Linked DNA regions of Oryzias latipes. The protein of the gene in region 2 purifies or fractionates together with the protein of the main gene of each other region. This does not show direct contact. Links are inferred from orthologs where the notes say so. Each region holds a gene or a part of one and is shown on either strand. Other genes may lie near its edges. The genes, in order: histone-lysine N-methyltransferase SETD1A, ogt and death-inducer obliterator 1.

Evidence for each region.
Region 1: the proteins of ogt (region 2) and histone-lysine N-methyltransferase SETD1A purify together in Homo sapiens (affinity purification with mass spectrometry; 4 studies listed by BioGRID and IntAct, with this or other methods). This does not show direct contact. The link is inferred for Oryzias latipes from reciprocal best matches to the Homo sapiens genes OGT and SETD1A.
Region 3: the proteins of ogt (region 2) and death-inducer obliterator 1 purify together in Homo sapiens (affinity purification with mass spectrometry; 3 studies listed by BioGRID and IntAct, with this or other methods). This does not show direct contact. The link is inferred for Oryzias latipes from reciprocal best matches to the Homo sapiens genes OGT and DIDO1.

The regions. Positions count from the first base shown.
Region 1 is NC_019866.2:4,052,600-4,056,251, forward strand, and holds part of histone-lysine N-methyltransferase SETD1A, read right to left. Parts: coding exon 3,556-3,652; intron 1,451-3,555; coding exon 1,194-1,450; intron 1,081-1,193; coding exon 1-1,080. UniProt on the Homo sapiens protein: Histone methyltransferase that catalyzes methyl group transfer from S-adenosyl-L-methionine to the epsilon-amino group of 'Lys-4' of histone H3 (H3K4) via a non-processive mechanism.
Region 2 is NC_019868.2:18,370,307-18,373,958, forward strand, and holds part of ogt (UDP-N-acetylglucosamine--peptide N-acetylglucosaminyltransferase 110 kDa subunit), read left to right. Parts: intron 1-833; coding exon 834-1,077; intron 1,078-1,195; coding exon 1,196-1,264; intron 1,265-3,057; exon of another isoform or gene 3,058-3,181; coding exon of another isoform or gene 3,182-3,184; intron 3,185-3,652. UniProt on the Homo sapiens protein: Catalyzes the transfer of a single N-acetylglucosamine from UDP-GlcNAc to a serine or threonine residue in cytoplasmic and nuclear proteins resulting in their modification with a beta-linked N-acetylglucosamine (O-GlcNAc).
Region 3 is NC_019863.2:25,950,404-25,954,055, forward strand, and holds part of death-inducer obliterator 1, read right to left. Parts: coding exon 2,909-3,652; intron 2,759-2,908; coding exon 2,356-2,758; intron 1,090-2,355; coding exon 730-1,089; intron 1-729. UniProt on the Homo sapiens protein: Putative transcription factor, weakly pro-apoptotic when overexpressed. Tumor suppressor. Required for early embryonic stem cell development.

The DNA.
Region 1 (3,652 bases), on a different chromosome or scaffold from region 2:
GAAGATGGAGAGTTGGAAGAGGATGCAACAGAAGGCTGGGTCGGGGAAGAAGGCGGGGGTGTCTTTGGTGGGGCAGGTGGAGTGCTGGGACGGCGTTTGGGCTTCGTCCATTGGTCTCCGCGGACGGGGCTGTCCTGATTGAAGTCCAGCGTTCCGAGTGTCTCGGCTACGGCCGCGGCAATAACTGATGCTGGTGGGAGTGGAGGTGGTGGAAGAGGTGGAGGAGGCAGAGCACTGTGATGAGCAGAATGGTAGTCTTTGTCAGCACCAGGAGACGGCAGAGGCACTCTCTCTGAAGCGTTGGTGCCTCCTGGACGACTGGCAGCGTCCGGTCCCTGGGAAGGGGCTGAAGTCGGCTCTTTGGAGGCGTATGCAGAGTAAGATGATGGAGGAGGAGACATGCTGTTAGAGGAAGAACGGTAAGAGTTGGAACTGTATCTGGGGTCTGAGTTATTAGAGAAGTCATTGTCCCGATCTTTGTCCCGATCTCTGTCTCGGTCATGGCTGCTTCTCCTGCGGCTGCTGCTGCCGTGGTGGTTGTGAGTGTGGTGGTGGTTCCGGTGCCTCTGGTGGTTGTGTTCACCGGAGCGGGACCCCAGGCTGTCGCGCCGGTACCCCCTTTCATCCCTGCGCTCTGAGTGGTGGTGGGAGTGATGGGCGTGGTACTTTGAGGAGGAGTTTGTGTCCTGTGGGTGATGGTAGGATGACCTTCTGGAACCGATCCCCGCAGCCCCGTACCTCCCCCCTGAGTCTCTTTCGCGCTCCCTGTCTGACATCGGGGGCTGGTCAAACTGGTTGGAAATGGGAGGTGGAGGCATGGAGGAGTGATGGGCCATGTGTGGACCTGGTCCACCGACACCGGTGAAAGGAGGGAAGCATGGTGGCTCATTGGGGCGGTACGATGTGGGATGGGGGTAAACAGGGCGACCACGGTGGTACACGGATGGCTCCTGTAGGTCGTCAGGGTAGCGAGAGACTTTGTAACCTCCAACAGTGGATGAAACTGCAGAAGATGAGGAAGGTAACATATCCTGGTGAGGGTATCCGCTGCTCAAATTGCTTGTATTGTAGCTGGAATGCCTGCAACAAAGAGATAAGAAAAAAAATGAGCATCACTACTCAGCCAGTAGTCACTACAACAGCAAATATGAGCTTTAAGCTGTGAATTATTTTAAATTAAATCAACTATTAACCTTGTGCTGGTGAAGCCCGAGTCCTGTGAGAAAGGTGTGCCAGACCTGGAGCTGTAAGGTGTTCCCCCACCACCCTGAGACGAAGCAGAGGAACCCGGGGTATACTGGCCCACTAAGGAGGAGGGAGTGCTTTCCATTCGCTGTTCACTGTAGCCGGTGTCATTAGAACAGGGTGTGACGCCTCCTGATGTGAGAGCCTGAACTCCCGTGGCCAAAGCCACAAGCTCGCTGGATAGCCTACGCCTCATTTCTGACGGCTGCAAAGAAGAAAATTGTGTCTTTTTTTTAACATTTTAAATGATGACTTTAAAAAGATTGACACTCAACTTACAAATTCTCTTTCAATGTCAGAACAACAAAAGACATTTTTATTTATGTCCCACACAGGATTTATTCTTTTTCTTAAAAGAACAATTTATAGGAACAAATCAAAGAAATAGATTAGCTTCCCCCCCCCAAACATTGAGCTGCAACAGATGAATAAAACACCTAAGTGATGCTATAAGAAGAAGCTTGAGGAAACCCTTTAGATCCGTGATCTCCAACCTTTTTCAGGCCACAGACTAGTTTAATGTCAGACAGTATTTTCACGGATCGGCCTGCAAACGGCCGGAGCGGGCGTCCAACATTTTTTTTTATGGCTTACAATTTAACTTAAATGTTGTGTGTGTTCCTCTGCAAATTATCTATCTGCTTTAAACTATTTGTACACCAGATTTCATTAAGATAACATGTCAAGCTTCAGTCTCAATGGACTTTTGGGGATTTCCAACACCTGAACAAAGATAACAGGTATGTGATCTCCATTTGGGAGACAATTCATTGTCTTGATAATAAATAATAAACTGATTGTTTTAAAGACTTGTCAGTTTGCTGTGCACATACCGGGGTAGTGGCCGTTCTCAGAACCTGACCACATGTCATCGTGCAATAATGTGTATTCCGCCCCTTCTTCCATTCACCATCAATACAAGACGTTCCTCTGTTGAGACTCCACTAACACTATTGTCATTTCAGTAAATAAAACACCGCTACAGAAACTATATTAGACAGCTTAGAGGTAAAAAGTGTCAAAAACTCAGAAATGATTGCCTTAAACACAGGCTGGGCGTAAAGACTGTAAAACCAGGAAGTGATGGTGGACTTAAGCGTGCCAACCCACAGACCACTGAGCTCTCTGACCAGAGAAATGTTAAGTCTTTGTTGTCCTCAGCTGACCTCACCTGGACATCACATCTCACGTCAGAAGGAGAAACCCCAACAGGGAAAGAAGTACATACACTTCTCTCAACATCTGCTGGCCTACTTTCACAAATGAATAATAGAGGGCGTTCTGACCATCTACTGCACTTTGTGGTCTTCCAGCCTCATGGAGGAGAACATCAAGGACCTGAACCAAATGGCGGGGGCAGCAGAGCACATTTCTGCCACTGCCTTCACTTGCAGATACTCACAGTTCAACTAAAAAAAGCCAGCTTTTTCTCAAAAGCCTTTACACATCCATGAAATGATCGGTTTTCTTCTTCTGGCATCACCAAACAGAGGAGGGACGATCAGTACCAGAACCGACTAAAAAAAAAAACGTTTTCAAGGCAGTCAGATCCAAACATTAAAAGACGACGAGCAGATGACAGAAATTATAGCTGCATTTGTTTTTGAAACGCCTCTTACTACTATGTAAATAATAAAGACTGTGGATGGATGCAAGCTAGTAGTTTAACTATAATCTGGCACTGTTATGTTTATTGTTGTTTCTAAACATCGATTGAAAACCTTTAGGTCTATTTCTGCTTAAGCATACGTGTGTTTTGTATGTTACAGATCCAGATACAGCTATGCCGAGATACGGAGCACATTTTTACTGTTAATAAACTGATGATAGACAGACTGACGAAGGTTTTACTGCAAGTCCAGATGCCATGACTTAACTTCAAGACCTCACCTGGATGAACGAAAACCCTCATCAGTAATAAAACTAAAACATGATTCCTATTATTTTACTCCAGTCTACAAGTCTATAGTGTAAAGTGTAGAAAGTCTTGTTTATGCCAATAAAAGGAAAACTGCATTATGAAACTGTGATTTCTGACCTGCCTTTCAGATTCTGAAGTGAAGAAGCCTATATAACTCCAAAGTTCAGACAATTCTTAGTTTAAATTCACTTATTTTTGCTTTTATTTAGTCAAGATCAGAGGTTTACCGAGTGTTTTGTGTCATCTATTAACACACACACAGTACAGATGGCATTTCAACACTTCCATAGCTGAACACTGAATGCATATAAAATATGAATATAAATCAAAAACACAATGCTTACTCAACGCTCATCAATAACAGTTAAACATTCATGATGTAACAATACCGTATCAGGCTGGGGCTGAGTTGGGGGCTGAGGCTGGACCTTGTCTGTTAAAGCCTTCCCACCAAGGGGAACAGTCTGAGGAGTGTATGACCCGTTT
Region 2 (3,652 bases):
AACAGTCTTATGGCAGCCTGAAGTATGTAACGAATCAAAAAAATCCCTTAATGCATTTGACCAATCGGATCTGTTATGTTAGATGTTGGCCTCCTATGTAGACTACGTTTAACTCTTATTTAAATTAAACTGTACCAGTGAACTGGGAATTGTTTTTGGTTGTTTTTCCATTTTTTTATGTATCGTAAGTTATGTCATCGTCATGATATTGATCACTAATACCGCATATTGCGAGTGTTCCTCATTTTGTGCTGCCCTAATGTAAATCAATGACAAATCTGTATGATTTGTGTAACACAAACAATGCAAGTAGCATGTTTGCTGAAATACATCTTTGTTGGTACAGATATGCAGCAATGCAATAAAAGTAAATAAAAAAATCGGAGTACCACAGAAACATGACAGCAATAGTTAAAATTACACTTTTCTGGTAAATCTAATCCTTGGCACTTTTTTGTACATAAATGTTTTACTTGCATGCGGGATGAAGACCGTCCTGCATCTCCTGATTTTCCAACTCCTCTTCTTTCAAAGTTCTGACAAGAGTTTTGCTCTGGTTGAATTCCTAGACATTTTTTCACAATAATAACTTATATTTACAACATAAATTACGATGACACACTTTTAAAAACACAGCTTAAATTATGTATATTTCTTCTAACAACTATCGATTGTCTATTTGTTGATTGTCAACATCGTTGCATAAAAATTCGACACCGTGGAAACCACTGCAACGACAGGAAAGTTATGTAAATCAGCGCAAACGTGTGTTTTCTGCCGCTGGTGACCGTGTCGGTGTTGAGGGTTAACTGTGTTTATATTTTTGCTCACAGGTCTGCTCACTTCAGTACTTTGGCCATCAAGCAGAATCCAATGCTTGCAGAGGCTTACTCCAACCTGGGAAACGTGTACAAGGAGCGTGGTCAGTTGCAGGAGGCCATCGAGCATTATCGCCACGCACTGAGGCTGAAGCCGGACTTCATTGACGGGTACATCAACTTGGCAGCAGCTCTGGTGGCTGCAGGAGACATGGAGGGAGCAGTCCAAGCTTATGTGTCTGCTTTACAATACAACCCAGTAAGTGGTGTTATTAAGTACTTGAAAAATTTGGGGGGGGGGGGGGGGGGACTTGTTAGTGAAAACATTCTATTTTATTCTATTTTTAAATCTTTGTGTTTTTTTTTTTCTTTTACAGGATCTCTATTGTGTACGTAGCGATTTGGGCAACTTGCTCAAAGCCCTGGGACGTTTGGAAGAGGCTAAGGTACGCGTCTTTGTGTCTTCAATGCTAAAGATGTGGGTTTTATTTTCTCTCCTTTAGTTTTAGGATGTCTTTTTAGGCCATCGATTCTTCCTTTTTCTTTTATTTTTTCGTTACTTTTAGGAGCTTTATTAAAGTCCTCTTTTCTCTGGGGGCCAGATAAACATCAGCTTATTTTAGACTTGCAAGGAGCTTCTCACCTCACTTTAGAAAAGTTTTTTTGGAAATATTGAACTAGAGTCTAAAAGACTCATATTGCACTCTAAAGCTGTCCTTTCTTTAAACATTTTTCGAACTTAAATTATCTAAATCTTTATTTTTTCTGATCTTTTTGTACAAATTCTTTTTGACAATGGTCCTTATTACTTAGTCCCACTGTTTTTGCTGACCTTGCTAATGAAAGGTCATCCCCTCCCCTTTCAGGAAGAAAGGCTGCAGTAAGTGAACCCTTCAGATTGAACCCTGGCCCTGCATCCTAATGATGTTTATCTGGGAGGGAAAACGCTGGCTCGGTCTTTAAAGTGATTATGAACTGATATCAAGATAGAATTTATCTGAAGTGCAAAAGATAAGATGGTTTCTAACCTAACTGCTATACTCCTGTGTTGCATATCAAGTGCCCAATGACAATATTTCTATCCCTGTTTTCAGCTGGTAGTTTCTGCCAGTGTGGATCCTTTTTTATTTTTTTCCCCACTAGGAGTTTACAACTCAACTTTGTCACTTTAAAATGTGCTTGTCACGGGGGGGGGGGGGGGGGGGGGCTCCCTTGGTCCGTTCAAATCCGGTCATATGGAGTTGTCCTGCTGGTTACAGGCCATCTTATTTCATGCTAGAGGGGGGTAAAGGAGTGTGGAGGAGCATCAGGGAGTCACAAGCTCCCCAGCTCTGTAGCTCTGCCCCCCGCGCGCTTGCTAAGGATCGGTGGAGTGTGCGCAACCAGAGCTGTCTTCTTGACCAATCAGCTTCCCCTAGTTGATGCCGAGGCGCATCCCCACATGCCTTTCATGTCCAAAAGTCAGTACTTACACTGAGATTTACGATTAGTCAATCATTCTGATATTTATTGACATGCCCTGCCGTTTATTTACATATAAAGCTCATTCTTCAGTGCCTTAAGGCGGTTGAAGTAGTGTCAAGCAGACAGCTCACTCACTATTTGTGCTCCACCACCTGCGCCAGATGCTGGATTAGAAAGACAGTATGATGCGCAGCAGCAGCAATGACCTCTTTATTTCAGATCTGTGGAGACTTCTAGATACAAGTACTTAAACCACAGAATTTTCTTCCCTATCCATTGGCCAGGATTCAAGAAAGCAGGCCAGGATAAAGAAATCAAAGTTTTAAAAAATATATTTTCTGAAAATGCTAGTGGAATATAAGAAACGCATTGGTTCACATTTCTTCCCTTTTCCTTCAAATATGTAATAATATTCCTACTGAAATGGGATCAGTTCATTTGGGTAAGATCAAGCCAGTAATCGCCCTCTTTGTAGTTTGGTTTAAATTCTCAATTGGCAGGAAAATAGAGGTCTGACTACATGTCAGTGATTAACTGAACAGCAAAGCCTTTCTTCCCTCGGTTAGCCTGTAAGCAATCCTCTTGTTTTGTATCAGGCCCTCAATGCATGACTGAAAGCTAAAGCTAAAGCTACCATTTATTTTTGTTTTGTCGTGATTTGGTGCTTTATATCCATAATCAACAAATAATGTATTGTTTGAAGAACTTTTACTAACGATCTTGTTTTCTGATTTTGTCTCTTTTGGTTTTTTCCACGACTGATATTGTTATTTAGAAGGTTTCAGGTGGGTGACACTATTCCTGCGTAGGTGCCTGGCGGAAAGGAACTCTAGGGCAGCCTCAGTCCTCTCCTCTTCTTCCAGCCAGCTGCGACCACCACTCTGACAAAGTCCAAAAATATGGTAACGGGTTTGTAACTGCCAACAAAAGAAAAACCACCTTACTTCATGCTTGAGCCCCTCGCTCTTGTGAAAGAAAGAAAAAATAAACTTAATATTTTTCAGTTAGTTTTTATTGAAATTTGTTTTACTAATTAACCAATTTTATATGAAGTAAAAAGAAACTTGGATTTGGAAGCTGTAATTATGAAAAACATTAAGAACCCTCTAACACTTACATGCTGGTTATTTTTCCTATTTGTTTTGTTTTCTCCCTTTCTTTATTTGGAGTTGCAGCGTTCTGATGATGCAGTAAATGCGCTGTGAGTCTGCAGTAGCGCAGGGGCTGCGCAGCGATACCCTTCAAGCAACCTAAATGGCGGAAAGCGCACGCGTGCAACCCCCAACGCCCTCCCCCCTCATCCCCCTTGGCCTGTTTGGTTGCGGACCTCACCCCACCCAAAAACCAGCCTCGCTCCCAAATGCACCAAA
Region 3 (3,652 bases), on a different chromosome or scaffold from region 2:
CTAAACAATTAAACCATCTTGTGATAGAAATGGTCTGCTTATATAAAGCGTTTTTATTATTTATGCCTTTACTTAAATTGCCATTTACGTTGGGAGAAGAAACATCCACCAGGAGGCAATTTATGGACCTCTTCTTCAAATTGTTTTAAAGAGGCACTTCAAAATTCTGATACAAAAGAAAGAATATCATGTGTTGATTTTTTTTAGATATTTTCATCAGGAAAAAAGGTTTTCAAAAAAAGTATAGTGCAAAGTTCCCCCCCAACTTTAAACTAAAGACACATGAGTCCTTTTTGGAAAATGGAAAGAAAAGTCTTCAGCAAAAGCCCGCTGCAATTCCCATGCAAACCAAATTATCCCAACAAGAGAAGAAAACAGAGTAAAAAAACATTTTTTTTAAAAACACTTTGTAATATCCAACCCGTGTTATTTCTCACAAGTCAACCCAAAAAAACAAACTTCAGATCTACATCACCTCCTGAACTTCAAACCCTGGATTTACTGAACGTCGGCAGAGGAAATCAAAACACTTTTTATTGCAATGCTAACAAAAAGCGTAAGCCCTGAATACAGTTCACAAAAAAGCTGCCTTCAAACCTTTTACTAATACAAATCAGACATGCAAACAATTCCCAAGAGTCAAATAAAGTCAGCATTAAAAGCAATGACTCGTGACTGAAGATACGTTTTCTTTCATTTCGGCAATGTATTTCAGTCAGTCCGGGTTACCTTTGCTGTGGACTTGCTTATGGGAGCCTTGTCCTTGGGCTCTTTGACATCACTGATGGACTTCATGGCGGCGGCGGCATGTCGCAGAATGCAGTCGTGGCCGCAGTACACAGAATCTGGCTGAGCATTCTTAGCACAACCAGGTCCAATGCACTTTGGAGAGAAAGAGTCATCCTCGGCCTTCTGCCCGGACTTGTCCTCCACCACTTCCACTTCTGGTGACGTCTTCACTTCCACAACAGAGGCGACCTTCTGCTCGGTGTCGGCTGATGCTTTCTGTTCAACCGATGGGGAAGCCTTGGTTTCCGTAATTCGTGAAGCCTTCTGCGCTGCCTTCGGTTGAACTGCCAGCTGAACCCCCTGGTTGGAGTCAGTGCAACATTAAATCAACAGCGAATGACAGATATTTCAACCTGCATTAAATACCAGAGGCATAAACCTATTGGATTATTGGATATACTTGATACTCTTATTGATAGGTATCCCGTTTACCCTGCCACCCTACATTTCACATTTGTGGGATTAAGAATTTACTTGTAGCAAACCCAAGCAAACTTCATTTAGTTTAGTGTTTCCCAACCCTGGTCCTCGGGGAACACTGTCCTGCATTTTTATAATCCTACCCTGCTCAAACCCACCTGCCTTTGATGACTGTCATTGTCAAGTTTCTACAAAACCCGCTGATTAGCTGAATCAGGTGCGCATAAGGAGGCCAACATGGAAAACAACGTGGAAGACGGTAGGCCTGCACAATAAATCCCAAATGTATCCTTATTGCGTGCATACAGATATCGCGAAAATTGTGATAAAGGGTACTTAAATGTGCTTCAACAATCTTACGGCAGCTTGAAGTATTTAATCAAATAAATCCCTTTATGCATTTGACCAATCAGATGGAGCCCTTTGACGTTAGATGCCCGCCTCCTATGCAGACGAGGGTCATTTGGAGTGTAACTTTAGCTATGTTGACTTTAATATCAATTAAACTGTTGCAGTGAAATGGAAATGATGTATTTAGTAGCTTTGCCATTTGTTCATGTATCCCAAGTTATATCGTCATTGCAAAATTGACCACTACAATCGCAAATCCCAAGTTTTCCTCATATTGTGAAGCCCTACAGGACAGTGTTCCCCGAGGACCAGGGCTGGGAAACACTGATTTAGTTGATGTAATCACTCCATTATCAGGCACAAAACTCCTGTGCCACAGAGCTCTCGGTTCTATACGGGGCAAACCCAAGACTATTTATATTACACAAAAAAAAAAATCGTACAAAGATGACAACAAAGGGACAGGCGGTCCAGGGCTCAAGTTGGGCATCTACTGGACTCAACGTGTGAACACTGAGGGTTGCATGTTGGCAAAATAGGCAAGCTGTAAAAAACCTCGAAGCTGCTAGTAGGCGTAAACATACTATATCAGCGTGTGCAGTAACTTTGTCTGAGCATGGACAGTGAAAGAGTACTCTGAGTAAACAACCCGCTGTGTTCACTAATATTAGTGAAGATAGAGTTCAGAAAAAGCAGGTCATTTAATTATGAACTACAACAATGACAGACTATGAAAACCTAATAAAATCCATTAGTAGGGGGAAACTCTTGTTTATATCAGCTACAGAGACGTACCGGCTGAAAAATCTTTATCTTCTTTTTTCCAGTTGGATTTGTAGCCTTCTCTATCCGACCTTTGATGCCCAGGTCCTCCGATGCTTTCTCCTCTGCCCCACTTACTGTGGAAGATGGTGGTGCTACAGCCTGAATGTTTGCTCCACTGACAGCAGATTTTTCAGAAGAACCAGAGGAGGGAGCAGTGGCAGAAGAGCCACCTGCAGAAACAGTGGACCTGGCTGAATCTGCACTTGTAGACAGGAGGGACGTGGCAGGTCTGACCACTTGGTTTTTCTTGGCAGTGCAGTTGGGACAGATGTAGTCTTCACCATTTCTTTCCAACAGGCGTCCACGGACCTCAGTGATTCCGACACAGTCCCCATGGAACCATTCTTCACAGCGGTCACAGCAAATCATAAATCTAGATGGAGAGGGACCAATCACAAAAAGACCAAGAATGCAACAGGCTTTTGCCTACAAATGTTTCATGGGGTTTGTCATTTAAATTTTCTAGATTTAAGTATTAAAATAAATGCAACAATGTAGCAGTAACCACTTAAAAAAAACCTACCGTTTGTTGTGTTTCTGACGACAGATGCAGTATAACGCATTGGGGTCATAGCCTCCATCAGATTCATCTAAAGACGAAGATGAAGACGAATCGTCATCCTCCTCCTCATCCATTTGGGGCTTGCTTGTCTTAACAGAAGTTTTAGGCTTAGTAGGAGCAGTGTTTTTGTTCACAACAACTCTGACAGGTGTACTGTTCTTTTTTGCTGCCCTCTTTTTATTGACATATGTTCTTAACGGTCCACTTCTTTCCGTTAAAGCTGGAGGCTTGTCCTCGGAGTCTTCAGCGTTTTCATTTTTCACCTCAGATTCTGTTTTCTCCTCATTCTTAGAGTCTTGCTCCTGCTGAGGCGGTGTTGTATCATTGCTCTCTACAACATCAGGGTCACTGTTTTTGTCTTTGTTTCCTGTCCCCTGATCTGGATCCTTTTTGATTTCATCTTTATTATCCTCCTCATTCTCAGAGCTTCCCTCATCCTTGGCTGCTACTCTGCCACTCCGTCTGGTCTGCATTCCTCTCTGTGGCGTCTTCTGAGTCTGTTTCTTTGTAGCGCTTCTCGTCTTCCTCTCTGGGGAATCAGTTTTGTCCTCTGAAGCCTTGAAGTCAACACTGCCATCAAAGCTGGCTTCTGAAGCAGTCTCTGCATCAGTTGGAGTTTGAGAAGGAGGATCTCCACTATCCCCACTTGGGGGAGCGCTCTTTCTTAATCCTCTTTTGGCAGTTGAGAGAAATTCTTCCAGCTTG